7 linked regions of the Ovis aries genome follow. The protein of the gene in region 2 interacts with the protein of the main gene of each other region in a biochemical or structural test. Links are inferred from orthologs where the notes say so. Each region holds a gene or a part of one and is shown on either strand. Other genes may lie near its edges. The genes, in order: ABL2, CRK, BCAR1, ERBB2, MAP4K1, RAPGEF1 and ARHGAP32.

Region 1 (4,273 bases), on a different chromosome or scaffold from region 2:
CCTTTTTCTTGCTCCATAGATCCAAATTCTATCCACCCTTCAAAATCTCTTCCTATTCCCTTCTTCATGACCTCCGCCTCCTCAGAAAATCTTAGGTCTTGAATAGAGACTAAACAAAGAGGATCACCACTGCCTACCAGGCGAAGTTTAATACATACTAACACTGTGAAGAAGGCTGAGCGCCGAAGAATTGATGCTTTTGAACTGTGGTGTTGGAGAAGACTCTTGAGAGTCCTTTGGACTGCAAGGAGATCCAACCAGTCCATTCTGAAGGAGATCAACCCTGGGATTTCTTTGGAAGGAATGATGCTAAAGCTGAAACTCCAGTACTTTGGCCACCTCATGAGAAGAGTTGACTCATTGGAAAAGACTCTGATGCTGGGAGGGATTGTGGGCAGGAGGAGAAGGGGACGACCGAGGATGAGATGGCTGGATGGCATCACGGACTTGATGGACGTGAGTCTGAGTGAACTCCGAGAGATGGTGATGGACAGGGAGGCCTGGCGTGCTGTGATTCACGGGGTCACAAAGAGTCGGACATGACTGAGCGACTGAACTGAACTGAACACCTTCCATAATGCAAAGCTACTTAGATAATTTCTTCCCTGAAAACTATTTACCCATTCTTTCCTCCTGCAATGCAGGAAGTGATTTCAATAAAGACTAACTTATATGGCACCTTCATAAAATGTTCATATCTCTGGAAGAGAGGCTCACTAGCATCTTTAATAGTAGACATATAACACTCGAATGGCCCAAATCACCTCTCTCTCTTCCATTAAGAAACTCAGCTTGTTCACAAAGTCCAAACCCAGAACTCTGATACAACTCACCATCTCTTTCTCTGCATAAGACCATTTGTCTTAACTTCCTCCAAAACTCCATTTCTAAGGAACAGTTCACATTTCCTTCCTCTTCTTCCCTACACTAAGCAGAAAAGAACACCCTCTTTTCTATTTTCCTTATGCCTCTTCAGTGAAAGTCCAGTTTGCTGCTGCTCAGCCAACCTCAACTATCCAGTCCTTTATATAGAAGTCACATCTATTTCTTCAGCCTCCCTCAGATTTTAGGGTATCTCAACTCCATGAAGGTCAGTTTTTTTTTTCCCTTCTTCCTTTAGACAAATGACCTCAAAAGGTGTGGGTGCAGCTAAGAAGAGTACCAAAAAGTCCATTCTTCCCTGGACTGCAGGAAATAATATATTAGAACTCGTTATATTTATTTTTTCATCTCATCCTTTCTTAAATTCTGCTTCTGTGTACATCTGTACATTACACATTAGTATAGTAGGACAAGTATATTATACATAAATTCTTGGAGTATTGTATGATCAAGAGATATTAAAAACTGGAGTTGGCGACCACTTAAAAATACCTTTATATGAGGCCAAAGTAATAGGTTCCAGACCATAGAGAGGATATATGTTTGTATACATGTACACATGATTGGCAGAAAAACTTGTTCCTACCCAAAGTCCTAACTATGCCCACCATCATCAAACCCCTGCCAGCCATTTCAGAATTGTGTCCTACTCAAAAGCCCCACCAAGGGCTTCCCTGGTGGCTCAGAGAGTAAAGCATCTGCCTACAAATGTGGGAGACCCGGGTTCGATCCCTGGGTCGGGAAGATCCCCTGGAGAAGGAAATGGCAACCTACTCCAGTACTCTTGCCTGGAAAATCCCATGGACTGAGAAGCCTGGTAGGCTACAGTCCATAGGGTCGCAAAGAGTCGGACACCACTGAGCCACTTCACTTTCACTTCAAAAGGAGCAGAACAGAGGATGGTCTGGCAAAACCCTTAATTTCCACTTTGGGGAAAAAAAAAAAATTCAAATGCTGAGTTACTATCCTTACCTTTCCCATAGAAGGGGATTTCAGAGCACTGTTCACTATCCTAACACCGCTCATTGCCTGGCTTGTTCGTCTACTTCACAGGACACTACGTCCTGAGATTCAGTTCCTATTTACCAACCCCTCGAGGCACAATTCACGGTCCCTTCGATAACAAGCGATTTATGCTAACACCTGGATTAAGCTCACACCTCCCTCAGTCTCCTCTCCCCTGAGGATACCATGCACCGTCCCCCGCGAGCCGCACAGTCGTGTCCAGTGTAGACGACAGTCCATCCAAGATCCCTAAGACCACTTCTCTTTCCTCCTCCGCCCCCGGGAGCTGCCAGCCAGGCTGGAGACGGGAAGGGGGAGGGGTGTGACTCGCCTCCCGTGACTGGCCCAGATGGCAGCCGATTCCGCCCCCACTCTCGGGCACCCCTCCACCCGCTCGACCCCCTAGGGCTGCCTGTCTGCCTCCCACCCCGCCCCAACTCCACCTCCGGCCTCCCCCACGTCCTCACGCCGGCTCCCGGACACACTCACCATGCTGGGTGAAGATATTGAAGCCGGCCTCTGCGGTACGCCCCACCAAGTCCCGCCTGCGACCGGAGGGCCTGGCTGCGCTGCTGCCCCGGATCCCGCGGGGTTGCGACTGCTGAAGCCCCGGAGCCTCCCCGACGCGGCCCACCTGCTGCCCCATCCCTGCGCTCGCTTACTCCCGCGCCCCCGACGACCCCTGGTCACATTCCTCCTCGGCTCCGGCCTCGGGGTTCCAGGCGCTGCTCCGGCCTCTCCTTCCCAACCCAGGCCCCGGCCCTGAGCGGTCCGGCCGCCTGCGGCTCCGCACCCGACTCCTCACAGCAGGCGCCGCGCCGCCTCCCGACGCCTCACAGGTTCTCCTTTTCCCTTCCCATCCCGCGGCTCCGCGCCCCCAATGCTGCCGCTACTGCCGCCGCCGCCATCTTTAAACCACCGAGCACTGGGAGAGCGTGGGACAGAGCGTCTCCTGCCCGCAACCCGACCAGTCATCTCCGCTACTCAGAGGGCGGGCTTCCCGGCGGCCCCGCCCCTCCCGCGCGCCCCCGCCTCCTCTCAGGGTGGGGCCACCCCCGCCACCACCCCAGGTACCCACCTCTTTGGCACGTCTACAGCTGCTTCAGGTCCTTCTGTTCCTTCGCGGCGGCTCGGCCTCCCACGTCCGAATCCGCCTTAGCCGACCCCTCCCAAGTTCGGTTCAACGCGCTTACCGCCTTTTGGGGGGTCGGTCGGTTTAAAGGTTTCCCTGTCACTCCTCCACCTGTCAAATCAATCAGTTGCGCTGAGCGCCCCAGGTGCACAGTTCTTTAGCCGACTCAGCTGGGACGGAAAAGCACAAGAAGTTTGGTGCTTGCTATCCAGGTGAGGCTGTCTAAAATACCCTGGAGGATTCCTTTAAACATCCGTGTCAGCAGCAGACATACAGTCAAAATTAAATGATATAAGGTTTACGTGAACATAATAAAGTACACTATTTCATTGTAATTTTTTGAAATTATTTCATGATGGGAAATTGCACTCACCTTGGTTGTCTGTAATTTACAATCTCATTGGGGAAGCAGTTATAACCCGATTCCTCCTCTTATATTATCATGAAGTCCTCTTGAACTTCTTTACCATCTGACCACGTATGTGTTTCTGTTACCGTTACTTCGCTTGTCAGTAAAGCTAATCTTCACACCGGCATGCTTTATATACAGTGCACGCGGTCAAGTCTTCTTTTGATGACAAAGGAGAAAAATAAAATTACCTTTGACCCTGTTTCTGAGTCAGAACTTACTTATATTTTGCCTGTATTATCTAAAGAGAGTGACTCAGGCAGAAAAATGTTTTTAAAGCGCAGGCACGCAGACATACATTTGTATATTCACTTATCTCCCCCTCACTGCTCACTCTTGCATCTTAATATTCAGTTTTTTACATTTTAAAGAACTTGATAATTATTTTTAGGTATTCAATTAGCTTCCCTATGTCCTTTATTAAAAGTATCAGTTATTGGAGTTACCTTAATAAAAATTTGCTTGAAAGCAGAGTATATGTGCCATTGCAAAAACCAACAAAACAACCATTGGGAAGATAAGGTCCAGGAGAAAAGGTGGATGAGCTCTTCTTTGCACATCTTTCCAAGAACAGGATGAAAGATGAACCATTAATATTCACTACAATAAAAGCTCTATGAAATTATTCCATTGCCATCCAGGATATCACCAGAAATAACTGAAATTGCCCACCAAATGGCAAAAGAAACACTGCTTTTGCACTGGATACAATATGAGTTTTTCATTTGGATCAAAGTTTTCCTGTGTTTAAATACTTTTTTCCTTTTAATTCCCAAAGTGTTTGCAAAACAAAAAAAGAAATCACTGATAAGGGATAAAGGTGATCATAGAGACAGAATTGGTTT
Region 2 (4,108 bases):
TGGGATCTCAAAAGTAAACTGGCTTTGACAGAAAGCAGTGCAGTATAACAGTGTCAGCTCTCAGGCCACAATTCCTAGGTGCAATTCTGGCTCAGTTGCTTACAAGCTGCGTGACTTTGCGGCACTTTACGGTATCTCTGACTCTGTTTCCTCATCTATAAAACGGAAATAGTTTAATAAGTGGAGGTCATAGTACTTTCCTCACTGGACTGTTATAGACAGTAAATGAGACAAGGCATATAATGTACTCAGCAAAGTGCCTGGCACAGAATAACCAGTCAATAAATGGCAGCTATTAATACTGTATATGCCTCTCTAAAATTCAAGAAATTCTTCTGTGTGGCTTCAAAAGAAAAGAGCTTCATGGGGGGAGGGGGAGAACAAAGATTAAGTAATCTTTACAAAGATAGCAACTGAATCAACTGTCCTATGCAGAAAATAGGGTACACGGCAGAAACAAAAAGGACCACAATGCCCATGAACTTTCCACACCCCAGCCACAAACTCTGGCAATCCTCACCTTCTCTCTGGGGCCAAAGATCTGAATTCATATCTGTTAACGAAAAGGTGGAGCTCAACATTAAGGTAACAGCTGAGATTAAAGTTATTAACACCAAGACGTGGGGAAAGCTCAAACAAAGCTGTGTGTTAGGTCGCATCCAACTCTTTTGCAACCCCATGGACTGTAGTCCGCCAGGCTCCTCAGTCCATGGGATTCTCCAGGCAAGAATACTGGACTGGTTTGCCATTTCCTTCTCCCAGGGATCTTCCCCACCCAGGGACTGAACCTGGGTTCTCCTGCACTGCAGGCAGATTCTTTACCATCTGAGCCACCAGCAAAGCCCCTGCTGCTATTTCCAAATTTTTCAACCAACAAAACACACAGAAGGTTGGGAACTTGAGTTTCAGTGACTGTCTGCCATCATGTCACTGCACAGTAATGCAAAAACCCAGACATCATGAAGGTGGTAAAAAGTAGAAAATGTTTGGTTTAGAGTAAACACATTCCCACCTCATGTTATAATGCTATTAAACCAACCAGGCTGAGAAAGACCTAGAATAATTTGTAAGCTTTATGATCCCTACGCTTTTTTAATTGGTATGTGTTAACAAGAGATTATCCCATTTCATTTCTGGTCAGAGAGAATAACCCTAAATTAGGACTCTCCTAAAAGAGCAAGTCTGCAAAGGCTGGTTCCGGAGTCTCTTAATTCAGGTGAGATTGGCCTGAATCTAGTCTCACGTGGTCAGGATTAAACTGCTTCCACCTGGAACAGCGAGGTGGCACTAAGACTCTCCGTACTGTTACACAGATAACTGTAACCTCAGAATTACTCTGTATACCACAAATCTCAAGTACCAAGTGCACAAATCCCCTTAACAACTCCAGTGGCCTGGGTGACTGTCATATCTCAACCTTTAGCAAGGAAGATCCAGTGCAGATCATTTAAACTTTCAAGAGAGTCACTTCAGTGGGATCTGTTTTCAACATCTAGAAGACTCAAGCCACAGCCCTCAACTTACTGAACAAGGAGAGGCCCTGGAGGACAAACAAGACTGATAACGTTCGAGTCCAGGGAAAAATGAACTTCCATTCACTTTCAGGGAAGGGACTGTTTCCACTGGCTTATTTCTGAATTATTTCCTGAAATATAAAAATAAAAATCTTTCCTCCACTGATTGCTTTGAAAACTATAACCCCCCTCATTGTGGAGAACAGTCTCTGGAAGCTCAGCTCTCTTGGACACAGTCAGCCGGACATCAGCTTATTCAGGGTTGGTCACAGAGGCTTTTCTTCTATAACCAAGGCACTTAGCTCACCACCTTCATCCTCCGCGGGGGAAGAGGAAGGTAAAAGTATTTTGGAAAAATGCCCAAGAAAGGAAAAAGCTGACCGGTTTCCTGAGGGTGTCTCCATCCCTCTCGGCCAGTATGTGGTGACTTCCTACCAAAGGCCACCAGGGGAGTATGGCCAAACCCGGCTTTCCAACACTGCAGGAAATGTTTCAAGCCTAAAAAGCCACTTGTAGGATTATCGGATTCATTCCCGGCACCGCTGCCAAGTGATGCCCCGCAGTGCCAACATCCTTCTCAGCTCTTTGTCCCCACGTTGCCCGGCTGTGCTCGGGCGCTAGCCCCACCCTGGGGCCGAGGCAGTTCCCCTTCCCCTGGGCTGTCCTCCCAAGTCACACCCAGAGGCCTGGGTCAGCGGCTCCTCCTCCCCCACACACTCGCGCTGGTCCGTGGGAGCGAGCCCCGGCAGAAGCTGCGCCCCGGCCACGCTCACTCCAGCCCTCTGCCCACGTCCCTCGTGGGGGTCAGCTCTCGAGGCGCAGCCAGCCAGGCTGGGGAGTTCCGCGGCCCTCACCCCCGCCCCGGGCCTCCCGTCCCGTCCGTCCCTCACCGGGCGGAGGCTGGGCGGGCGACGGTGGCACCGGCGGGCGCGGGCCGCTGCTGTTGATGATGTAGTGGGAGACGCGCGAGTTCTCGGAGACGCTGAGCACATAGTCCCCGGGGCTAGTGCTCGAGTCCCGCACCAGGAACACCCCGTGCCGCTGGCCCTGCAACAGCGCCACCGCCTCCTGCCGACTCAGCCGCCCCCAGTACCAGCTACTCCGCTCCTCCGAGTCGAAGTTGCCCGCCATGGCCACCTCCGTGCCTACACGCTGGGCCGCCGCCGCCGCCGCCGCGCGCGCCCCTCCAGCCCCGGCCCCCGCCGCCCAGCGGACCGGCTCGGGTCTCAGCCTCACAGCAGCGCCCGAAATGGCGGCGGCGGCCGCGGGCCTTCCCCACCGGAAATGACGTGCTCCTGGCCCCCGGGAGGATGCCGGGAAGGGAACCACCGCCCGCCATTGGGAGAAGGGCAAGTGACAGATCGTGAGCGCACTGCGCATGCGGCCTCTTGGGCGTCGCCGCCTGGCTGGGACTGGGACTGCAGAGGGTGAGGGGGAGTCCAGGACCGAGGGGCGGGGCTTCAGCTACCAGTAGGCTGTTGGCGACGCGGTTCTTTGCTCCTCCAGGTTTCAAGTTACTGGAAGGCCCAGGCTTCTAGGCAGCGACTAGGGTACAGAATTAGAGCAGAAAAGGTGATGTGGCCCCAGGGCCTGTGTTTCCTGAGATTGTCTTTTTCTGATGGTTCCTCCAGCTTCTCCCCACGCCTGCTGAAGTTCTTGTTTTCACTGATTCATTCAGCAAACAGTTGACACCACATTTGCCCCGAGGGTGCAAAGGTCATCAAGGGCGAGCCCTTCCCTCACCGAATTCGCAGACCAGTGGGAGAAACCAGGAAACAGTCTTTGAAGAAGGCGTGCCAAGTGATACGATGGGGAAGGGGCAAGGGGCTTTAGGAACACATAACAGAGCCCCCTAATCCATTCTGTAGGGGAATCCAGGAGGGCTTGCACTGAATATTGAATGGCAATCAGGGAAGAGCATTCAAGACAAAGGGGACAGAGTGTGCCAAGCCAGGTGGAAGTATGGAGTTCCCTCTGTTTAGGCTCTCAAGACACCTACCCAGACTCTCTAAACTCTAACTGTGGCCATGGGTAGCCTCGGCTCTCCCTGCTGTCAGGACCATTTATACCTTTACATCCCATATCTATTTTTGTATTCCTGTGACAGCCTGCTCACTGGTGTTCTATAGTCTTGCTGCCCTTAATTGTATAGCACACATCTGCCAGTTTGCACTTTCTCAATTATAGCTCTGAGTCAGCTGCTATTCTGTATAAAACTTTTAACAACCTCCAGGTGTTAGAACTCCCCATTTACCTCACAGCATACAACCAAGCCACCGTCTCATCTTCACCACCTCTACATGAACCTTGTGTTTCTTCTCTCTGGAATGCCCCTCCACTCCTTTTGGGATCTCAGTGACAAAAGTCTCCCCTTTCCTGACCATCACATCACTCCCTCTCTGTATGTACAGCCCTATTTCCTTATTATCTTTATTATGGTTCTTAACCACTGTACCGTAATCTTTCATTTACAAGTCTGTATGCCATGGTAGACCTCAAAGGCCAAGCATCTACTGTAGGAGGCACTCCATAATCATTTCGTAATAACAGCTAACATTTATTCAGGAAATAGTACCTGCCAGGCATAGTGCTAA
Region 3 (4,273 bases), on a different chromosome or scaffold from region 2:
GGCAGAGGGGCCCTGAGCTGTGTGGCAAAGTGCAGCCAGGAGGCCCCAGGGCACTGGTCAGGTCCACGAAATCCAGGGCGTAAAGTTCACAGGCCTTGCTCACCCCCCCATCCCTGCCTGACACACACCCAGGCCGCGAGCACAGAGCCCCACACACGGCACTCACTCGGCAAACACTGGTTCTCTTCATACACGGCCGTCTCAAATGTGGGCCAAGATTATTTCTGGGGTATTCTGTTTGCTTGTCCCAAGGAGACCCTGTGGCCAGCGGATACAGCCAAAGCGTGTGTGTGCCCCCGCCGCAGCCCACACCCACAGCTCACTTGTGCCCTGGGACGCCCCCAGGAGGGCTGCCCCGTGCCCAGGGCCCTGGCAAGCCCCCGCTCTGCTCCGGGCTGGGGGGTTCAGGAGGGCAGCCCCTCACCTTTCCAGGGGTCCCCACACCCTCATCTCGGACAGAACTCCGGAACAGCTGGCCTTGGTGTCACCCAGGACAGCTGAGAGTTCAGGGACTGGGCTCAGGTCTTCAGTGCCCAGCGTGAGGAGCACGGGTGAGACCCTGCGCCAGAGCCACGCGCGGGGACAAGGCAGGCATGCCCCCTTCCCCGCCTACTGGGCAGTGCCCGAGCCCCAGACGCAGAGCAGGGGCTGGGTGTGGGTCTTCAGCCCCAGGCCCTGACCCCAGCAGCCAGAACAGGCCCACAGACACAGACTGGAAACCCAGCTGTGGGGGGTCATGGCCAGCAGGAGCCCTGACCCGGCCTTGGTTAGCAGTGGCAAGAGCAAGAGCCTCCGCATTCAGGTCCTGGGCGGGAAGAAGGCCGTGGGCAGGGAGCCCAGGCACGGACCCTGGCGGCTGGGCAGGGAGGGTCCTCGAGCCGCAAACATGGCCTGCAGCCTCTAGCACACCAGATGGTGGGGAGAGGCGGGCCTGGCCCCGGGCACTGAGGAGCCCCTGGGGAGGGACGAGAGCAGAGCCCACTGTCCCAGAGCCCACCTACCTGCTGACAGCTGGGAGTGGTCCTCGCACCCTGAGCTCCGCACCACTGCCACCCGCCCAGGGAACTGACCCAGACCCCAGACTCGCTGGGACAGTCTGGCCTGTTCAGTCTCAGGATTTGGCTTCTTGGCAGAGGCCAGCACAGGCTGACCTTGAGTTCACGGACAGCATCAGGCCCTGGGAAGCCACCACGGCCACCCCCCAGGTTTGCCACTGGAGGGGCAGAGACAGAGGCACAGCCCAGGTGGGGCGGCAGAGGCGTTGTTCCTTACAACGCCTTGGTTTCCCCACCTCGGCGTTCAAAGCCCCCTCTCCAGTCCTAAATGGTAACCCTCAGCAGCCCTTAAAGCAGCACCACCTGCTTCAGCAGGAGGAGGGAGACACACTGGTACAAAGAGCACAGTTCTCCAGCTCAAAAAAGGTCCCGAGCCCTGGTGTCTAGGGTGCGTGCTGGAAAAGGGGTCTGAGACGGGGCCCAGCTCCTCCACCCTGAGCCCGTTCCAGGCCAGCCAGTACTTCGTCCCTCTCCCCAGGCAGAGATGGGAGCAGGTCAAGTCAGGGGCTCTCCCGCCCGCCCCCTGGAGGGAGACCACCCTGGAGCTCCGTACTTGGGGCCTTCAGGGCCCAGAGAGGAGGAACTTGGACAGTGTCTTCCCGGAGAATGACCCAGTGCCCGCCAAGCACTGTCCCCACCCCCTTCCACCTGCTGGCTGGTTCTAGCTGCCCCAGCCAGCTGTGGGCTCCTGGGGGACGGAGGAGAGCTCTCCAGGCTGAGAGAAAACGGGCGCTGGGACCCCTAAAAGAATGACAGGTGGGGGCCACTAAGGCACAGTGTGGGAGCCAGTGAGAGACCCCACGGAGCTGGCAGTCCCCCCAGTCCCAGAGTGAGGGGAGCACATGGACGAGCTGGGCCACACCAGGAGACTACGCCCTGGGTCAGCTCTGAGGACAGTAACGTCCCTCTCTGGCCTCAGTGCCCCCATCTGCACCTGGAGGGAGCAGTGGCCTCTCTCACTCGGGCAGGACCCCCAGGGCACTGCCCTCACTTCAGTTCCTGCCCAAGCCTGGGCAGACGGGGCAAGCCTGCAGCGCAAGTGTACAGCTCTCTGGAGCTGAGGCTGACCGTCCTGGCAGAGTTGGAGACTGCCCTAGCCTGCCTCCACCCTGCACCCACTGGACTCTCCCCTCGCTGAGGTCAAGTGGGTGGCGGGTGCCAGTGCCAGAAGGGCTTGCCAACAGCTCCTCCCAGACTCCCTTCCCATCAGGCTCCACCTGCACTCAGGCCCCTCTCCTGCTTTTCCAGGCCTGTTAGCCCTGACACGTCCCTCCACACCAGCATCAGCTCCCCACCCTGGAAAGGAAACGGTCATGGGTGGGGGGAGATGAGGAATACCTCCGGGCCTGGCTGAAACCGGCACAGCAAACCCGGACAGGACCTCCCAGCTGAGAGTCTTAAGGCTGGGGAGAAAACAAGCTCCCTGTTCTCAAGACCAGCTAGAGATGGGAGACCCCAACATCTCCCCGGACTTTAATCTCTCACGCTCCCCTACCTCCCCCAGGCCTCGGCAAACCTCAGTTTCTCCGAAACCATCACCACTACCCGGGGCTCTGCCGAGCGCAGCAGCAACCCGGGCACCTAAGCCCAGGTGGCGGCCACCCGAGTGGCGGCCGCGCCCCTCCCGGCTCGCAGGCTCCACCAGCGCAGACGAGGGACCGGGATGGGACCGCCGCGTGGGGTTGGACTGGCCTGTCCACCGTCCAGCTCCCACAACGCTTCTGCAGAGAACGAAGGCCATAACTGGAGCCCGCCCCGGATCCCGGAGTCCAACGCTGGCGACCGAGGTTAATTATTAACTTCTCCGCAGACCACGCACTTGCTCCCGGCGCCCTCGATCCCTAGCCTGGGGCAGGGGCAACCGTCCCCCCAAAACACAGGGAGCACCACCCCGCCTCCTGGAAATTCACGGCCCAAGGGGCCCCGGGTCGCTGCTCCGGGCGATGGAGGGGGGGGCTCGGAGACCCGGCTCTCAGGCCCAAGGTCACCCGGCAGGCGCGGCCGGCAGGCGGGAGCGGGCCTCCGGCCAGCTACTCTCCCGGATCCAGGAACTTCCCTGCGGCCCGCGGCGCCCGAACCCGGTCCTTCCAGCAGCCCGCGGGCGCGCGGGGCCTGCGGTCGCCCACAGCCCCGGCCTTCGCGAGCCCGGGCCGGGCAGAGGGGGTTCGCAGGACCCCGGCCCCACGCCCCCGCGGCGGCCGTTCCCAGGACCCGCGGGTCCGGCAGGAAATGCCGCTCACTTAACCCCTCCCCGCCCGGGCCCGCCGGGTCCGCCCGGGCGCGGGCAGGGCCGGGGGGCCTCGGCCGACGGCCCCGGGTGCGCGGACCGCGCCCCGGCCGAGCTCACCAGGTAGTTCATGGTGTCCGGTGGGCCTGGGCTCCCCCCGGGGGCGCACAGCGAACCGCTCGCGCCGCGCGCTCGCGGGGTCCCGAGCGCCCCGAGGCCGCGCGGCTCCCGCGCCCCGGTGCGGCCGCCTCAGCGCCTGCCCGGCCACTGCCGCCGCCCAGGGCCGGCCCTCCTCGCCCCGCCCGCCGCCGCGCCCCGCTCCGTCGCGCCCGGCCGCGCGCACCCATTGGCCACGCGGGCCCCCATGCAAATGCCCCGCCGGGCCGGGGGCGGGGCGCCGAGCAGGGCCCGCCCCCGGCCCCGCCCCCAGGGCCGGGACTGCGCGGGGCTCCGGGAACCCGCCCGCCCCGCGCTCCGAAGGCCTGTCCCTGCCCTCCACCGAGGGCGAGCGCGCCCCTCCTCAAAGGCCGTGGCCTTCCTCTTCCGGGAAGACTGCCGGGATTGCCCTCCTGCTCTGCGGCCGTGGCAGCCCCGGAGGCGCCAGCCTTCCCCGCCTGCCAGCGAGGGTCATTTCACACGCGTCCATCCAACAAGTCCGACTCAGATCTGCACCCGGAGGAGTATGCCCCAGCTGGCAGAAAACTGAGATTCCGACTACCACCGCACCGACTCTGGTCAGGCGTGTGGTGTCAAGAGCCCCAGAACGTGAAGACACGGCAAGGACGCCGGGGAAGGCAGGGAATCCGGGGACGGCAGCTGTCTCCGTGGGTAACGCGGGGAGTGGAGGCCCGGAGCGCATCGTGTTCTAGAAGCCACAGTGTGCAGGAGGCCCCAGCGCACCGGGGACAAGAAGCTTGTCCATTTACCCCTTCTCCGAACTGAATCCAGCTTCCCTAGTGCTGCCCCAGGACCTCTGCCCCCACTCAGACCC
Region 4 (3,500 bases), about 17 Mb from region 2:
CACGGGGATTTTCACATTTTCCCCATCGGGGATCCAGATGCCCTGGGCAGAGAGGAGGATGTGAGCAAAAGGACCGGCCAGATCAACCTGCAGCCGTCCTACTTGGGGTCACTGCTTGTGCTCCCAATTCCCTCCCCAACCCTTGGGCCAATCCCATTATTTAGCAGCAGCCTCACCATTTAGACCCACTGGCCACTCCCAATCCCCTATCCTTAAGTGCCTACTCAACTGCACCACCCGCGGTTCCTGGCTGTTGTCCCAGCACACCCTCCGCCACACCCTGCAGCATCCTCTAGGACCGCCCACCCGGGGACTTTGGCCCCACCCCTGACCTTGTAGACGGTGCCAAAAGCTCCAGATCCTAGCACCTTCACTTTCCTCAGCTCTGTCTCTTTTAAGATCCGCATCTGAGCCTGATTGGGCATCGCTCCGCTGGGCGTCAGGGGCTCCACCAGCTGGGGTGAGGGGGTAGTGGGTCAGTGCTGCAGGTTGGGCCGCAGACCCCAGAGCTCGAGAGAGACCCTCAGGTCGCCTCACCTCCGTCTCCTGCAGCAGCCGCCGCATTGTATACTTCCGGATCTTCTGCCGCCTTCGCTTAATGAGGATGCCGAACACCAGCCCCACAAGGACAACCAGCAGAACGCCCACCACAGCGGCAATGATGGATGTCACAGGGCTGGGGGCAGGAGCCAGGATCATGGATTGGGGACCAGTCTGGGGCAGGGGGGATGAAGGGGTCCCACGGTGGGGCGCGGTGGGGTGGGGGGAGGAGGGAGAGGGGGCTGACTGTCACTGGCATTTGGAAAGGGAAGTCAGAAGGGTGACCCACAGGCTCCCATCCTGTCTGACCTACTCTAAAATCCATCTTGGCTCCTTACTGTCTGGGAAATAAAGTCCAGACTCCTTGCTAAGATTCAAAACCCTCTACACCTACATCTCCAAGTTGTCTATGCTCTTGCCCATGGCTCTAGCCCAGGGTTCTTGTCAACCTGTGAGAGTACGGAGCTCCACCCTCCAGAGACTTTGACTGTGGTATGAGGTGGGGCCCAGGAAGGTGCACACAGAGATTCTGATGTTCTAGCCAGAATTTTCACCCATAGGTCACGATTTCCAAATCTCCCAGCCGTTGTTATAATACTTCTGCCTGGATCACCATTTCTGCATGAGGTCATCTTTCAAGACTCTGCTTATCCTAGGATAGAAGGATCTCCTGGGCACTGACCCTACATCCTTGTCATCCTTGTTCCCCTCCCTTGCTTAGCCAAGGGCTGGCTTATCACAGACCTCAAATGGACCCTTATGTCATGGACAAATGCTTACTCAGGACACACTCCGATCTTTTTCTCCCTAAAACCCTTCCCAAAACACCCCTCTGCCTAGAAATCAAGTCCAGCGATGGTAGTGATGGACATCACAGGGCCTGTGGCCTCATGGTAGGGGAGAGCCTATGCCCTCCAGATCCGGCCCTGAACTGACTCAGACTTCACCCCCTACTCCTTCCTCTGTGCTTAGTCAGTTACCCACCACAGCAGAATCTTCAGCAAATACATCCTAGACTTTCTGGACACCTCTTACCATGCTGCCTGGTTGCTTTCCTAATACAAGTGACATTTCGCGCCCCTCTTTCAAAACCTAGCTCATGTGCCTGAAGCCTCCCACTGACCCCAGGGAAGTATTCACTGTCTCTCCCTCAGTGCTGCAGCCATGCTCTCTTCTCAACGTGCCTCGAGTCCCAGGGAGTTGAAGGCTGCCTGTGTCCCTTATGAGACCCCCAGCTATACAGGGAGGGTGGGGAGGTGCTGGGTGTCTTCCTACCCCCTGACCCCCAAGCAAGCCGAGCAGGCCTTCCACCCACTGCATGTGTGTGTGCATATGTGCTGAGCCTCCCAGTTGTGTCCACCTCTCTGCAACCCCGTTGAGTGTAGCCAGCCAGGCCTCTCTGTCCATGGGATTTCCGAGGCAAGAATACTGGAGTAGGTCGTTATTTCTTACTCCAGGGGATGTTCGCAGCCCAGAGATTGAACCCCAGTCTCTTGTGTCTCCTGCACTAGCAGGCCAATTGACCCCTGCACCACCTGGGAAGCCCCTCCATCCCCTAGTTGAAGCTAACTGAAAGAAGCATCCACAGTGGAAGAGTGGGCTGGGGAGGACACGTGTCATGTCAGGACATGACACCTAGCAGCAGGGACCACCCAGGGGTCAGTGGGGAACTGAGGGCAATGTGGGGTGCATTCTGGGGACCAGGCTGACCTGGCTCTCTGCTCGGCGGGACAGCCCTTGTCATCCAAGTCCACACAGCTGCAGGAGAGAGAGAGTCCCGTCAACAAGGCTGGGAACCACCTCCTGCACTCACTCCAGCCTCACAGGATCCCAGGAGGTGGGTGTGACTGGGTTAGGATCCCCACTTGACAAAGGCAGAAACTGGGTTCGAGGTCACCAGGGCTCTTTCTACCATCCCACGGGGGAGTCCTCCAGTCTGTAAACCCATATCATTTGCACCTCCCTGTGGTGGGAAGGAAGTGGTGGCACCCAAAGGAGCATCGGGTTCAAGAGCTTAGCCATCTCCTCTGTAGAGGAAGCCAGCGTAAACTACTACTGTAGTCGGGCAAACTCCCGCAGTTCCTCCTGTCCTCCCAGCGGTTCCACCTCTGGGGATAAACCCTGAAAATGCCAACACCTGTACACTAGGGGGCATGTACAAGATGCTCACTTGTACGTGGAGCTCAAGTGCAATAAACTGCCAAAAAGAGAAAAAAGGAAACAAGTTCAGTCAGTACTCTCAGGCAGGGACACAACTAAATAACTCTACATCCATACTGCAGATTGAGTAGTTAAAAAAAAAAGGAGTTAGATTGATATGCATTCACAGGAAAGGACCTCCAAGATACATAAAGGGGGGAAGGTGTGGGGGAGCAAAGTGTATATGAGTCAAATAAATTGCTGAGAAATAGATGAGCTAGATGAAACTGTTGTTTCTTGATCATTTTTGACTTCTAAAAACAGCAATCTTATATGACTCAACGTAACATATACGTAAAATGCACTTATGTAAATATGTGCAGAAAAGCCTGGAGGAATGCACATTCCAGAGTGACCTGGTAGTTCTCTCCAGGGAGGGGAGGGGCAGTGGGAGAAAGGGCACTTCTGCTTTACACTGTTTACTTTGATACTGCTAAAAATATGTCTTACAAGAATGTATGCACGTGTTCCACGTGTTATCAAAAACAACTAAGTAAAAAAATAAAAAGAGCAGGGCGGATCACTATATTAGCACATGAAAAAGCATTGCAAGAAAAACTGCAGTGTTACGTGAGAAAAAGCAATTGGCAAACAATAGGTATGGTCTATGCTCCTATTTTTGTAAAAAGAAATATAGACTAGAATGTGCACAGATAAGAATTGGAGAATAAAAATAATATATAAACATATTTTATATATTATATAATAATACATGTTAGCATGTGCACATATAAACTGGAGGGAAAATATGGCAAGTTATT
Region 5 (4,228 bases), on a different chromosome or scaffold from region 2:
GAGGGTACCACACAGGGAGGGGAGAACTGGGATGGGACAGGTGGGAGGAGGAGGCAGAGAGGCAGTCAGCAACAGAGAGAGGCAGTGATGCAGGGAACCAGAGAGATTCATTCAACGTGATTATTTGCTGCATGTCTACTGTGTGCCAGCCACTGTGGCAGGCAGCAGGGATACAGCTGTGGACAAAAGAGGCAGAGATCCCTGCCCCCGTGGAGAGAACGCTCTAGCACAGGAGACGGATGGCAGACAAGATAAACAGGTAAGATACATGATACACGAGATGCCAATAAATAGTGAGAAGAAAAATTAAGCAAGAAAAGATAACAGGAAATATGTGTGGGAAATATGTGTGGGAAGGAGTATGACATTTCATACAGGTTGATCAGTGAAGGCGACCCCGAGAAGGCGGCGGGGGTGGAGATGGGGAGCAGTCCCCCTCGGAAAGGGAAAGGCAAGTGCAAAGGCCCAGAAGCAGGGGAGTGTCCCTGGTGGGGCTGGAAAGCAGAGGCGTGGGTGGAGCAGGGAGAGGGCGCCAGCCTGGGATTGTCAGCGGGGGTCAGACTCAGGGGCAGTGTTGAGAAACTTGGGCTTCGCTTTGGGGGGGGGGAGGGGATGGAGGGCATGGGACAGCTCTGAGTGATGTCACTCTGTAGAACAAGGAAAGGCAGAGAGAGACGGGAAGAGATAGAGAATCAGGAACAGACCCAAGCTGAGGCAGAGAGAGACAGACATGGGCAGAGACACCCCAAACTGGGAAAAGAGACACATTGAGAAAGACACAAAGGGGTGAGAATACACCAGAGAGAGACAGCAGACTGAGGGGGTCAGAGACTTGGTCTGACGGGCTGGTGGGGTGAGTCACTTCCTCTCTGTGGGCCTCAGTTTCCCCCACCCGCCCTGAGGACTTCTTCATGAAGTCCTTCCTTTCCTGACCTTTGAGGTCTAGGGCTGGAGGGAGACTGGGAGACTGGGAGATGGTCAAAGATAGAGGTGCACATCAGAAATCTGATCAAGGCCCACCCCGCCCCCACCCTCCAGTGCTCCAAGACAGTGAAAAGCAGGCTGAGTGAATCAGAAATGCATTCACTCATTAAATGAACAGATGGGCCCTGACGATGAGCTAGAAATGCAGAAATACTCAAAGGCATGAATAGACCTTGGTGAGAAAATGCAGGCACAGGGGGAAGATGGGGCAGGGAAAGTCGGGATCGTTGCAGAAAAAATAGAGCTGGACTCTCAGGTCCTGAAGGATACAGGGTTCAGGGCCCGCTTGGGTACCACAGTCTCCCCAGCATCTTCCAGGCCAGGCCTGGTCCAGAGGAGGGGCTCTGTGTGAAATACAGACCAGAAAGACAGTCCCCGGAGACGCAAGGATAGAGGGACAGGACAGGTGGATTGGAGGGCCAAGGGCTGCCTGGATCTCCTCGCCCTGCCACTCACCTTGGTAGATGTCCTGGAGAGAACCAGCCCCACAGAATTCCATGCAGATCCAGAGTTTCTGCAGCCTACAACAGTTCAAGAGCAAGAATAATAATAGCAGTAATAAATCATTATTTATAGGACAGTTTCTGGCTCACTGTCCATCCTATCCTAGTTCAACAAGAACTTGAATGTAAGAGGTGTCATCTCTCTATTGTCTACCAGAGTGAGATCATCCCATTTTACAGATGGGGAGATTGAGGCTCAAAGAAGAAAATATATGTTTAGGGTCAACTGGACCAAACCCAGGTGCCTGGGCTCCTACCATGACGTTCTCTGTTGTCCCATGCTAACCTAGGAGACAGGGCAGAGACTTCACAGGTTGTGGAAGTTCAGAGGGGACAGAGGAGCCCAGGATGCCAGGGCCGGGGGGCAGAGATCATTCTTGGGGCATCTGGGATATTCAAGGGTCAGGGAAATTAGGGGTTCATGTTAAAGGAACAGAAAGTGAAACTGGGGGACCTGCAAGTCAGGACGATGATCAGTTTTAGAGGGACTTGGTTTCACATTTGGTTACCACAAAGGGATCAATTTAGTGAGAAATGCTAGTTATTTATTGGAGATGAGGTTTGGAGGTGCTCTGGTCAAACAAGTGGGACTTCGGGCTGGGGATTAAGTTAGGAGCCTCAGTTAAAAATGGAGGTCTGGGATTAGAGGTTAGGTTGGAGGCGGGTGCTGGTCAGGAATGGGAGTTGGGGGCTGGGCTGGGGGGCAGGGGAGGTCTCATCACCAGAGATAACTCCCATGGTAGGCCACGATGTTGGCGTGCCGACAAGTTTTCAAGATGAGGATTTCCTTCTGAAGGGTGGAAACATCATCGTCTGCGAGGAGGGGCAGAAGAGAAAAGGCTACTGCAGGGATGGAGTATGGGGGAGATCCCAGGGTCCCAGGAGGTGGGGCAGGGGAATGAGGACCTGGGTGCTCTCCTCACCAGGCTCCATCTTCACCATCTTCAGTGCCACCAGGTCCCCTGTCCCCTTCTCTCGAGCCTTGTAAAGGGGAAGTTGGCAGTCAGGCAGGCTCCATTTGCCCGAGGTCTTCCTCAGCATCCCTGAAGCCAAGCTGAGGACTGGGACCCTCTCACATCCCCATCCCTTCTTGGGGCTCACCCCCAAGGTCACAGGTTTGAGAGTGTTGGAGAAGGAGGGGGGTTCCTCACCTTGAAAACTTCCCCATAGGTGCCGCCACCCAGCCGCTGCAGCAGGTCATAGTGGTCCCGGGGGTCCCTGTTAAAGATGTCAGGGTCTACGAGGTCCATTCCTGGGGGCCGGAGCTGGGCCTGCGCCCAGGGGCCAGCAGGGCCTCAGGGCTCCGAATGCTGGCACCTCCCTCCCTCCCCACACGCCCTGCACCCGCCTTGCCTCCACCGGCTGTGGCCTCCCCCCTCCCCACTCTCGCTTCCTGCCCCGGCACAGAGCTGTGCAGCCAGCGGCTCCACCCCCTGTCCCCTGGGCCCTGACAGCCTGTGAGGGGCAGCTTGCCTTGGGACCCAGGGGACTCCCCCCTCCACCTCCGGGGCCCTGGGCTGCATGTAAACCAGATGCAAACTATCTTCATTGTGACCTGGAGGGTGCCCTCACCCTCCCCCGTTATGGGCAGTGGCTAAAAACATTTGAACCTCTGCTGAACGCTGAGTGTTGGGCCACAACCTGGAGATGGCAGGTCTACACCGGGATGACCATGTAGTGTATGTACATCATTGTTCACCCGGGACACATACAGGCACTTAGTGGTAACTCCCCGTGCGGCGCGCAGGCCAGTCGCCGTGCACACTCCTGGATACCCGTGTGCACGTATGTGGATATACCCAGAGCATATACACATATGACACATGCATGTTCAGTCATGCTTGCAGTGGGCAGTATCTGAACACACAACTAGGGATGCCACATGCGGAGCGCTCGCCTTCACCCACAGAACTGGAGCTATGGGGACTGGGCGTGATCTAGCGGGGTCCACGAGCCCCTCTCTCCGCCCCTGCCGAGCTGAGCACAACAGCTTTGCGGGCCACTACCCTCGGCGTTAGGGTGAAGTGTGGGGGACCAGGTTCACGACTTAAAACTGCGAAGCTCAGGATCCTTCCTCAGAGGCCAAGGGGACCTCAGAGGGCACCTTCTTCGGCACATGCCCATGGACCAAAAGGATTGTACTGATGGAACCCCAGCAGTTTTGAGTTCACAGCCCGTGCACGCCGTCACGGATCAGTCTACTTCCCGCTAAGTCCGCGCTCACGCGCCAGGGTCTATAACTGGATACGCGAGGCCCGGGAAAAGCTTAGTCCCGCCCCCTCGCCGCGAGAAGGCGCCTGCGCACTTGGTTAGACTAGGTCTTTTCTCGCGCCGTAGCTTCTGCTCGAGTAGAGCGTATGCGCACGCGCTAACTGCGCCGGCTGGGAAGAAGTCACGCGGCAGCCGGAAAGCGTGGCAGCCGCAGCTAGACCCAAAGCACGATTCACCGCGGGGCTGGAGAGAAAACAATTACGTAGTTTCCGTTTCCACCAACTCTTCCTCTTCCGGTCCTCGAGGACGCTTTGCCGGCAGGGTCTTCGGCCTTAGGCCTGGTGTGGGAGGCGGCAGCAGTCATGGCGATGTTTGAGCAGATGAGAGCGAACGTGGGCAAGTTGCTCAAGGGGATCGACAGGTCTGAGCCCGGTCGGAGGGAGCGTTTCTGGCCAGCGTGGAGGAGAGGGTTTTCTGGGGTCAGCAAGAGGTGGTCAGCATCCTGGGCTTGCCCAGGGGTGGGATTTTTC
Region 6 (4,186 bases), on a different chromosome or scaffold from region 2:
ACAACATGGGAGCAGAAACATAGATGGTCTAAAAGGTAGATAATGATTTCCTTTCAATGTCCCTTCAGAATTTATTCTGGATCTGACCTTCCTAATCGCGACCGTCTGGCTCAGGTTAAAGTCTGCCATGGCAGGCCAACAGACAGGCTGGACAGCAGTCAGAGGGGCCGTGGCAGCTGCCTGCAGCAACCACACGTGAGGCCAAGACCCAGCTTCACTTGCCCCTAAAGCAAGGCACTGATTCCACGCCACATGCCCTCCAGCCTGGAGCCATCAAGTCAGTCCCTGTGATTTCATGTTCGTGCTGAGCCTGGACTTCACATCAGGCTCAGGGTGGTGCTGGGGATTCACGAAATCACTCCTGAACACTGTTCTGAAATTACTGTTTCAAAACATCAACAGCCTTTACTGACAAACTGTGAAGAACAGATAAACTCCACACCCCTGTTACTGTGGGTCCTTGGCAGAGCGTCCACAGATGTTGGATCGGAGAATAAACTAGGTACGAGGTCTCTTGTGCACAAACCAAATCCCTACACTGGCAGAGACGTGCCCCTGGTCCAAAGGATCTGTGAAGACCAAGAAATCAGCGGCAGTTAATTGCTCTTTTTACCCCCAGTTCACTGTGGATTCTGAAATCCCTGCCATCAGCCCCTCTCATTTACATTTCTGAACACAAGTAAACAACACAACACAACAGCTTTCATTTTTGTCTGTAAACCCAGCTGCTACCACTGGAAATATCAGGAAGCTTTCATTCATACATTTTCCTAAGGAAAACCAGAGACAACTTGAAAGTAAGTAAAATGTTGAATTCCTGTTATAACATTGGTGATTTGTGTCATTGGATCAGGCGGCTTTTCTTCTCAGTAACTGGAGATACCAGCCCACACGTCAGTGAGAGAGAGTGTTGCATCCCAGCCCACATGCAAATACCCGTGTCTGCGAGAGTCATTCTTTTGAAGGACAAAGTATTATGACATAAAAAGCAACTGCTTTTTTTTTTTAATGTTTCTCTCCCCCAAGTGAGTAAAATACATTAAAGAAAATATAGCAAATCTCACATATTCATTACCTGGATTCTAACGTTGTTAAAATGATCCTGTTTTTCTTACCTAAATGCAAGTGTTCACTCACTCACCTGAACCATTTTAGAGTAAAATTATAGCCAGTATAACCCTTTCCTCCTAAATACTTCACCATGATGATACCAAAATGGACATTCTCCTACATGACTCATTACCACCACCACACAATGGTTTTAGCAACAGTTTCCAAACACCATCTACCACCCAGTTCATATTCAAATTTCCTGGTCTGTCCCTCAAATGTCTTTCATCATTTTTTAATTCAAAGCAGGATTTGATAAAGGAGCAGAAAGGAGCACCTTTTCCAAACTAGCTCATTGACTGATGGAAACTTAGAGGGGTAATGGTTAAGTTAGCATCCCACTGACTTTTCTCAAGAAGGAAAAAAAAAAAAAAAAAAAAACCAACTGTCTATAACCTGACCACAAAAGACAACTCTTACTGACATTTCCATGTGGTTTCTCCAAGTTTATTTTTTCTGTTCATAAACACACACCTGTGCACACACTTATGATCAAACTGTCTTGCTACAGGTCAGGTGCTACCTCCCTTCTTTTTTGGCAAGTGGAGATAAAAGAGTCCATACTATCCAGGGCACTATCTTTGGTATTTGGGTGCCTGCTGGGTCTGCGAACTGCTAGTCTGCTAGGTTAATAACAGTGAAATAGGGCAGCAAGTGCCCTGGGACCCTGCTCAAGGGAGGACCTCCAGTTTTAGGCACACCACAGCACACTGCTGGGTGGTCCCTCTGACTTCTTCCTTCTCAGAGCTAACGCTAACAAAAGCGCGAGTGACATGGAGGAGGTGGTAATAGGTGCTGCTGTCCTGTATCATGGACATCGAGGATAGACAAATACAAGGTGGTTGTTGTTTTTTTTAAATAGGAGGTACTTTGAACTCTTAGGAAGAAAGGGGCTATATAATTAAAAGCTATTATTAACATTCTCTAAACCAAACTGTCACTAAAAATGCAAACTCCTGGATATCAAAATTTTTCTTTGGGATATTTTTTAAAACTGAAAAATTTCAACCCAGCGACATGCGCTGCACTAAATAAAAAAAATCTCAAACTGAACTAAAGTTCTCAGCCAAGTCAGGCCATCACAGAGCTGCGAATCATTTCATTCCTTAGCAGAACTGTCTGTTGACTGTCTTCAGACCATGCTGAACTGGAAGCATGGTCTGGCCCGCAGGCTCAGGTCTGGTCTTACACCGTAGCGTCCCAACAGACAGCGGCCGAAGCCCTTCTTCCTGGGGACGAAGTGCAGGGTCTTCTTACCTGGTTTCCAGGGACACAGGTGGCTTCGTTTCAGGGGCTTCTGTTTTTCAATAGCATTGCCCATTCTAAATTAAGCCAGAGGATCACAGAGCCCTTCCAAGCCCAAGTGTCTTTGCTGAAGAGCAAACACAGACCAAGTCACCAGCTGGACGGGATTCATCTCTCAGACATCCCCATCACCCAGTGGCAAGCCCGTGCAAGAAAAACTTGAACTCTGCTCTGAAAGGTCTTTGCCTCCTGCCTGTCCAACTCTCTTCACTTCCAGGGAGGAAATCAGAATACAAGGCTTGTTACCGCCCCAGCGGTGGGTCCCCGGACCCGTCTATTCTAGGAGCTCCTCCTCGGCTTTCCTGACACTCCAATCCTCATCGGCACAGCAGCAGCCTCGGAGATTGAACTTCATTTCCAAACCCCATCATCGCTGCTTTTCCTTGGGGGAGGAGTGGGAAATCACATGATCAAGAAGCTGAAAGCTAAAAATAGACCAGTTTGGGGGCGTGCCACAAGAAACACTGTCACAGAGACCCCAGGGTCACACCTTCTTTTTAAGGTTCTAGCCCTTAGACCAGTGTGCATACGGGACAAGTTCCATCGGTGAAAACAAACTGACTTCATTAAGACTGTTGTTTCCAAGGGGAAAAGTAAGCAAACATCAAAATGCAAGCTGCACTTCAGTTTCCCAAGAAGAGCTCGGAGGGCAAATGGGAGTGTGCAGCCTCAAGCTCCAGTCACACAGTCTACGTTGGAATTAACATTTCTGGAGACAATGCTGCACCACCTAAATTCTGAACAACAGATTTCCTGGAAGAAAGGGCATGAAATCATACACTTTTTTTTGTGGGGGAAAAAATTAAAGAAAAGAAAATGTCAAGGTACACGGAAAGATTTCACTGACTGAGATCCTAGAACCTGAGGGTAGAAAAGCTCTTCAGGAATCTCTGGAGCGCAGGCAGTGGGGAGACTGAGGCCCTACATCCGGGGCCAGATTCTGGCCTGCCCACCGAGCACAGCAGTGTCAGTTTCCCCATCCGTCAGCTGTGCAGAATGCCGTAGTCCCACCTCCTCGGCTGCGATGAGGACCAAATAAGACAGACACTTGGGAGTCCCCTCAGGAAATCGTTACCACCATCAAGTTTGAAACCACAGTAGCTCGGAAAGCAGATACCTGGCTTCAGCCAATTTGGCCAAAGGCACACAATCAAAGGGACTGGAGGGTAGGATGGGGGAGCCAGCGTAAAATTTAAAGACAAAAAAAGCCCACGGAGCCGAAGAGACAGGGTCTAAAAGGCACTCGGTGCACTGGGGCTTCCACTGCTCAGCGTGCTGCACCACAGCCAGGGCGCCACCCCCGCCACGGCCCCCTCCAAGGGGGCAAGAGAATCCTGCCGGCGTACGCAGAACCGAAGAAGCCACATCCCGATCTCCACAGGAGCCTGAGGTTTCTGATTCCCATCTACCGACACAGAAGTCATTTTCACACAATCGCGGCCTGCGAGTCCAGACTTCTCAAAGCCAACAGCATGTGTCTGTTCCACTTTCCTGCCACCCCAACACTGCGCATGGAGCGCTCCTTCCAGTCAAACCACAGCCACGAACCGGGAAAGAGCGCAGACCCGAGCTCCAGCCACCCGGAGGGGCCGCCGACACCCAGCCACGGGTCAAACACCCACAGCACACCCAGCACTCCATCCCCGTCACCATCAGTGACCGCCCCACCCTTCTGACACACTCTGAAGGGCTCTCAGTTTCCTTCCCCAAACTGTAATAATTTTCCTTAGGCAAGTGTTCAGTGCCAGATATGTCTGACCTCATTTCTTCC
Region 7 (3,500 bases), on a different chromosome or scaffold from region 2:
GAAGACCAATCTGTGAAGACCAGTGTGCCGACCGTCTCCTTTGTGGACCACGATCAGCTCCATTTCTACAGTGGAGATGAGCCTCCTTCTTACCTTGGTGCAAGCGTGGATAAGCCCCATCACCCTTCAGAACTTGCAGACAGAAGTCCTGCCCCTTCTCATTTGCCTAGGGACAAGATCTGCCCTCCTTCCGGGTCCCCTGAAGAGAACACCAGCACAGCCCCCCTGGCGTACATGATGCATGCTCCAGCAGCGGCCATAGCAAGCGCCAGCGAAGCCAGCTGGGACGTGGCAGAACAGCCCAGCGCAGTGGAGTATGTAACCGCCACCCTTCAGCGTGCTCAACGAGCCAGCCGTCCCCTACCCCTACCTCCTTCCCAGAGACCCGCAGAGCAGCCCCCGGTCCTGGGGCAGGTACAGACTACAGCCAGTATAGGACTAACCAATCCCCACAAGGTAAGAAGCGGGGCAGGCCAGTGGCATGCAGTGTTTCTCCAAAGGTGTGCCACTCTCCATCAGCGTGTGACGTTGCCGCGAGTGAGATCTGACATCTCTTTTTAAGTCCTAGGCCGATTTCTGTGAAACACTTCCTGGTTGAGATGGGGATCTGCCTTTATCTTGATGCTGGCTTTTCTCTGAAAAAGGAGCTGCTTCTCCATGGCTGTGGTTTAACTATAACCCTCTCCCTTTACAAAGAGATTATGAGCGCAGGAGTCCACCTGGCCATTGGCTGTCAGAGTTGTGGGGTTTTTCCCGGCTCCCTCACTGACTCAGTGTGACTCTGGGCAAGCTGTCCAACCATCTCTGCCAGTTTTTCACGTCTGCACGGCCAAAGTGCTGTAGTCTCAGGACACTTGGAAGACTTTATGTCTTACCAACTTTCTCGAAATATCAGAGATGACAGTGTCTTAGGACTTTTTGTTTTTTCAGCATTAGCCAGCAGATTGTTGAACAGTCAAGCACCTGTTTTGATGAGAGAATGTTGTATGCAGACTGTGAAGGTTTTTTGTTGTCACCTTGGACTAAAAGGACTTCACTATCTAGTCCTCTATGGAAGATGCTATTTCCAGCCACTTGTTTCTCAAGGGCAGCGTGTGCAGCCTTGCAGTGAGAACCATGTTTGTCTTCTGCTGCCACAGACACACTGGAGCGGGAGGGAGAGGCGGAGGCTGTGTTGAATGCCACCTGGACATGTCCCTTCTTGTTCCTCCCTGTCCTGGGGGCTGAAAACTGCCCACTGGGCAGTGGGTATCACTTCAAAACACTCTTCAGGTAGAATCAGCACTGCTTGTGTAACAGAATGTTCTTGGTGTTGAGACTGAGCTGCACGGATAGACCGGGTACGTGGTTTCAAGCCTAGTGATCTTTTAAGCAAATCATATCTGTCATGGTGCACCCCATCTCTTGAAAACCCATCCTAAAAGAGAACAGCTCTCCAAAGATGGGCTGGCTGCCACACCAGGTGGCCACAGAGGCCTGCCTTCTTTTCCTGACTGTAGGGACAGGTAGGCCTCTGCCCTGTCCAGCACCTCTGCACAGCTTGGGAAATTTCCAGCTGCTGCCCACATGGCCGCAGCTTGTGAGTTATGAATTCAGTAATGTTTGATTCCGTAGAGGGAAGCATAAAAAAACACTCACAGTACTGTCATCTTTCAACAGGTTCAAGGAGCAGTTCCGGTTCCGGAGAGGCCGTCTGAACCCAGGGGCCTGGGTGACCCTGCACCTGTCCTGGTTGGGGATGGCGGGGCCGCTGCGCAGTGCCCAACCTCCGCTCCAGCTCCTCAGCCCGTCCTTCCTGAAAAGGTGCGGGAAGGTGCCAGGGCGCCCGCGCTGCACCTGCGCGCCGAGTCTGTGCCCGCGCACGCCTCCTGTGGCTTCCCCACCCCGGCGCCCCCCGCCAGGACCATGGAGAGCAGACTGGCCGCGGCCCTCCACTCGGGCAGCGCCGACGGGGCGGGCGGCGCCGGGTACCACTCCTTCGTTGCCGCTGCCTCCGCGGAAGAAACCTTGCCTTTGCCCCTCCCTGTCCCACAAGCCAAGCACGGCCCTCTTAAGACTGCTTACCCCACGTTCGCCAGGCCTGACCTCACCACGGAGCCCTTCGGTCCAGAAAACTGTCTGCATTTCAGTATGACCCCAAACTGCCAGTTCCGCCCCCAGAGCGTGCCACCCCATCACGGGAAAGCGGAGCCGCACTCAGTGTATGCGTCCAGGTCGGAGCCACCAGCCTCCACGGGCCCCCGGTACAACACGTACGTGGCCCCCGGGAGAAGCGTGTCTGGACACCAACCGAAGCCGTGTAGCCGGGCAGAGTACGTGTCCTCACTGAGCTCGTCCGTCAGGGGTGGCTGCTACCCCGAGGACATGCCGCCGTACCCCACCATCCGCCGGGTGCAGTCTCTGCACGCGCCTCCGTCCTCCATGATCCGCTCTGTCCCCATCTCCAGGACAGAGGTGCCCCCAGATGAGGAGCCCGCCTACTGCCCACGACCCCTGTACCAGTATAAGCCATATCAGTCATCCCAGGCCCGCTCGGACTACCACGTCACTCAGCTGCAGCCTTACTTCGAGAACGGCCGGGTGCACTACCGGTACAGCCCCTACGCCAGCTCGGCCAGTTCCTACTACAGCCCCGACGGCGCTCTGTGTGACGTGGACGCCTACGGCACGGTGCAGCTGCGGCCCCTGCACCGCCTGCCGGGCCGCGACCTGGCCTTCCTCGCCCCGCGGCTGCAAGGCAAGAATGTGTACGCGTTCGCCGGGGGTGCGGCCCCGCGCGCCCGGCCCAGCGTGGCCAGCTACTTCCCGGCCAATGACCACAGCATGGTCCACATGCCCCCGGTGGCCGACGCGAAGCACGCGTACGCCTCGTGGGATCTGGAGGACCTGGAGAAGTACCGCCTGCAGTCCATCCGCAGGGAGAGCCGTGCGCGGCAGAAGGCCAAGGGGCCTGTCGTGTCCCAGTATGACAACATGAGCCCGGCCGGCGCGCCGGATGACCTGGGCAGCATCTATGTCATCCACCTGCGCAGCAAGTCGGATCCTGGGAAAACTGGACTCCTCTCCGTGGCTGAGGGCAAGGAGGGGCGGCACCTGGCCAAGGCCCTGAGCCCCGAGGGGGAGGACCGCTTCTACCGGAAGCACGCGGAGCCGGAGCTGGAGCGCGTGCCCCACCACCAGGGCGGGTACGGCAACGGGCAGCCGGAGAAGCCGTGCCTCCCCCAGAAGCAGAGCAGCGTCAGGAACCGCAAGCTGCACGACGCGGGCTGCAGCCTCCCCGAGCACAGGCCGCATCAGGAAGCAAGCCATAGGCAGCTGTGCGACCCGAAGAATGGGCCCCCTTTCCCCCAGGGAGCCGGCCCGCTAGACTACGGGCCCAAAGGGCTTCCAGACCCTGCCGAGCCTGTCAGCTACCTTAACTCTGGAGGGAAATACGTGCCGTCAGGGCCGGAGTCTTTAAGACCGAGCCACAAAGAGGTGCGGCTCCCCAAGGAGCTAGA

What was found.
Region 1: of the proteins of CRK (region 2) and ABL2, one has a biochemical effect on the other in vitro, tested with the Homo sapiens proteins (2 studies listed by BioGRID and IntAct, with this or other methods). The link is inferred for Ovis aries from reciprocal best matches to the Homo sapiens genes CRK and ABL2.
Region 3: the proteins of CRK (region 2) and BCAR1 form a complex in vitro, tested with the Homo sapiens proteins (2 studies listed by BioGRID, with this or other methods). The link is inferred for Ovis aries from reciprocal best matches to the Homo sapiens genes CRK and BCAR1.
Region 4: the proteins of CRK (region 2) and ERBB2 form a complex in vitro, tested with the Homo sapiens proteins (2 studies listed by BioGRID and IntAct, with this or other methods). The link is inferred for Ovis aries from reciprocal best matches to the Homo sapiens genes CRK and ERBB2.
Region 5: the proteins of CRK (region 2) and MAP4K1 form a complex in vitro, tested with the Homo sapiens proteins (2 studies listed by BioGRID). The link is inferred for Ovis aries from reciprocal best matches to the Homo sapiens genes CRK and MAP4K1.
Region 6: the proteins of CRK (region 2) and RAPGEF1 form a complex in vitro, tested with the Homo sapiens proteins (4 studies listed by BioGRID, with this or other methods). The link is inferred for Ovis aries from reciprocal best matches to the Homo sapiens genes CRK and RAPGEF1.
Region 7: the proteins of CRK (region 2) and ARHGAP32 form a complex in vitro, tested with the Homo sapiens proteins (2 studies listed by BioGRID and IntAct, with this or other methods). The link is inferred for Ovis aries from reciprocal best matches to the Homo sapiens genes CRK and ARHGAP32.

Annotation. Positions count from the first base shown.
Region 1 is NC_056065.1:59,964,231-59,968,503, forward strand, and holds the start of ABL2 (tyrosine-protein kinase ABL2), read right to left. Parts: upstream 2,801-4,273; 5' UTR 2,534-2,800; coding exon 2,377-2,533; intron 1-2,376. UniProt on the Homo sapiens protein: Non-receptor tyrosine-protein kinase that plays an ABL1-overlapping role in key processes linked to cell growth and survival such as cytoskeleton remodeling in response to extracellular stimuli, cell motility and adhesion and receptor endocytosis.
Region 2 is NC_056064.1:22,477,842-22,481,949, forward strand, and holds the start of CRK (adapter molecule crk), read right to left. Parts: upstream 2,801-4,108; 5' UTR 2,646-2,800; coding exon 2,405-2,645; intron 1-2,404. UniProt on the Homo sapiens protein: Involved in cell branching and adhesion mediated by BCAR1-CRK-RAPGEF1 signaling and activation of RAP1.
Region 3 is NC_056067.1:2,077,621-2,081,893, forward strand, and holds the start of BCAR1 (breast cancer anti-estrogen resistance protein 1), read right to left. Parts: upstream 2,801-4,273; 5' UTR 2,797-2,800; coding exon 2,572-2,796; intron 1-2,571. UniProt on the Homo sapiens protein: Docking protein which plays a central coordinating role for tyrosine kinase-based signaling related to cell adhesion. Implicated in induction of cell migration and cell branching. Involved in the BCAR3-mediated inhibition of TGFB signaling.
Region 4 is NC_056064.1:39,833,076-39,836,575, reverse strand, and holds part of ERBB2 (receptor tyrosine-protein kinase erbB-2), read right to left. Parts: intron 2,738-3,500; coding exon 2,711-2,737; intron 2,299-2,710; coding exon 2,251-2,298; intron 677-2,250; coding exon 538-676; intron 456-537; coding exon 333-455; intron 43-332; coding exon 1-42. UniProt on the Homo sapiens protein: Protein tyrosine kinase that is part of several cell surface receptor complexes, but that apparently needs a coreceptor for ligand binding. Essential component of a neuregulin-receptor complex, although neuregulins do not interact with it alone.
Region 5 is NC_056067.1:47,753,613-47,757,840, forward strand, and holds the start of MAP4K1 (mitogen-activated protein kinase kinase kinase kinase 1), read right to left. Parts: upstream 2,801-4,228; 5' UTR 2,738-2,800; coding exon 2,639-2,737; intron 2,469-2,638; coding exon 2,411-2,468; intron 2,301-2,410; coding exon 2,210-2,300; intron 1,506-2,209; coding exon 1,441-1,505; intron 1-1,440. Other genes in the region: EIF3K (eukaryotic translation initiation factor 3 subunit K), read left to right, coding at 4,061-4,119. UniProt on the Homo sapiens protein: Serine/threonine-protein kinase, which plays a role in the response to environmental stress. Appears to act upstream of the JUN N-terminal pathway.
Region 6 is NC_056056.1:5,109,500-5,113,685, reverse strand, and holds the start of RAPGEF1 (rap guanine nucleotide exchange factor 1), read right to left. Parts: upstream 2,801-4,186; 5' UTR 2,432-2,800; coding exon 2,368-2,431; exon of another isoform or gene 1-2,367. UniProt on the Homo sapiens protein: Guanine nucleotide-releasing protein that binds to SH3 domain of CRK and GRB2/ASH. Transduces signals from CRK to activate RAS. Involved in cell branching and adhesion mediated by BCAR1-CRK-RAPGEF1 signaling and activation of RAP1.
Region 7 is NC_056074.1:29,778,103-29,781,602, reverse strand, and holds part of ARHGAP32 (rho GTPase-activating protein 32), read left to right. Parts: coding exon 1-456; intron 457-1,659; coding exon 1,660-3,500. UniProt on the Homo sapiens protein: GTPase-activating protein (GAP) promoting GTP hydrolysis on RHOA, CDC42 and RAC1 small GTPases. May be involved in the differentiation of neuronal cells during the formation of neurite extensions.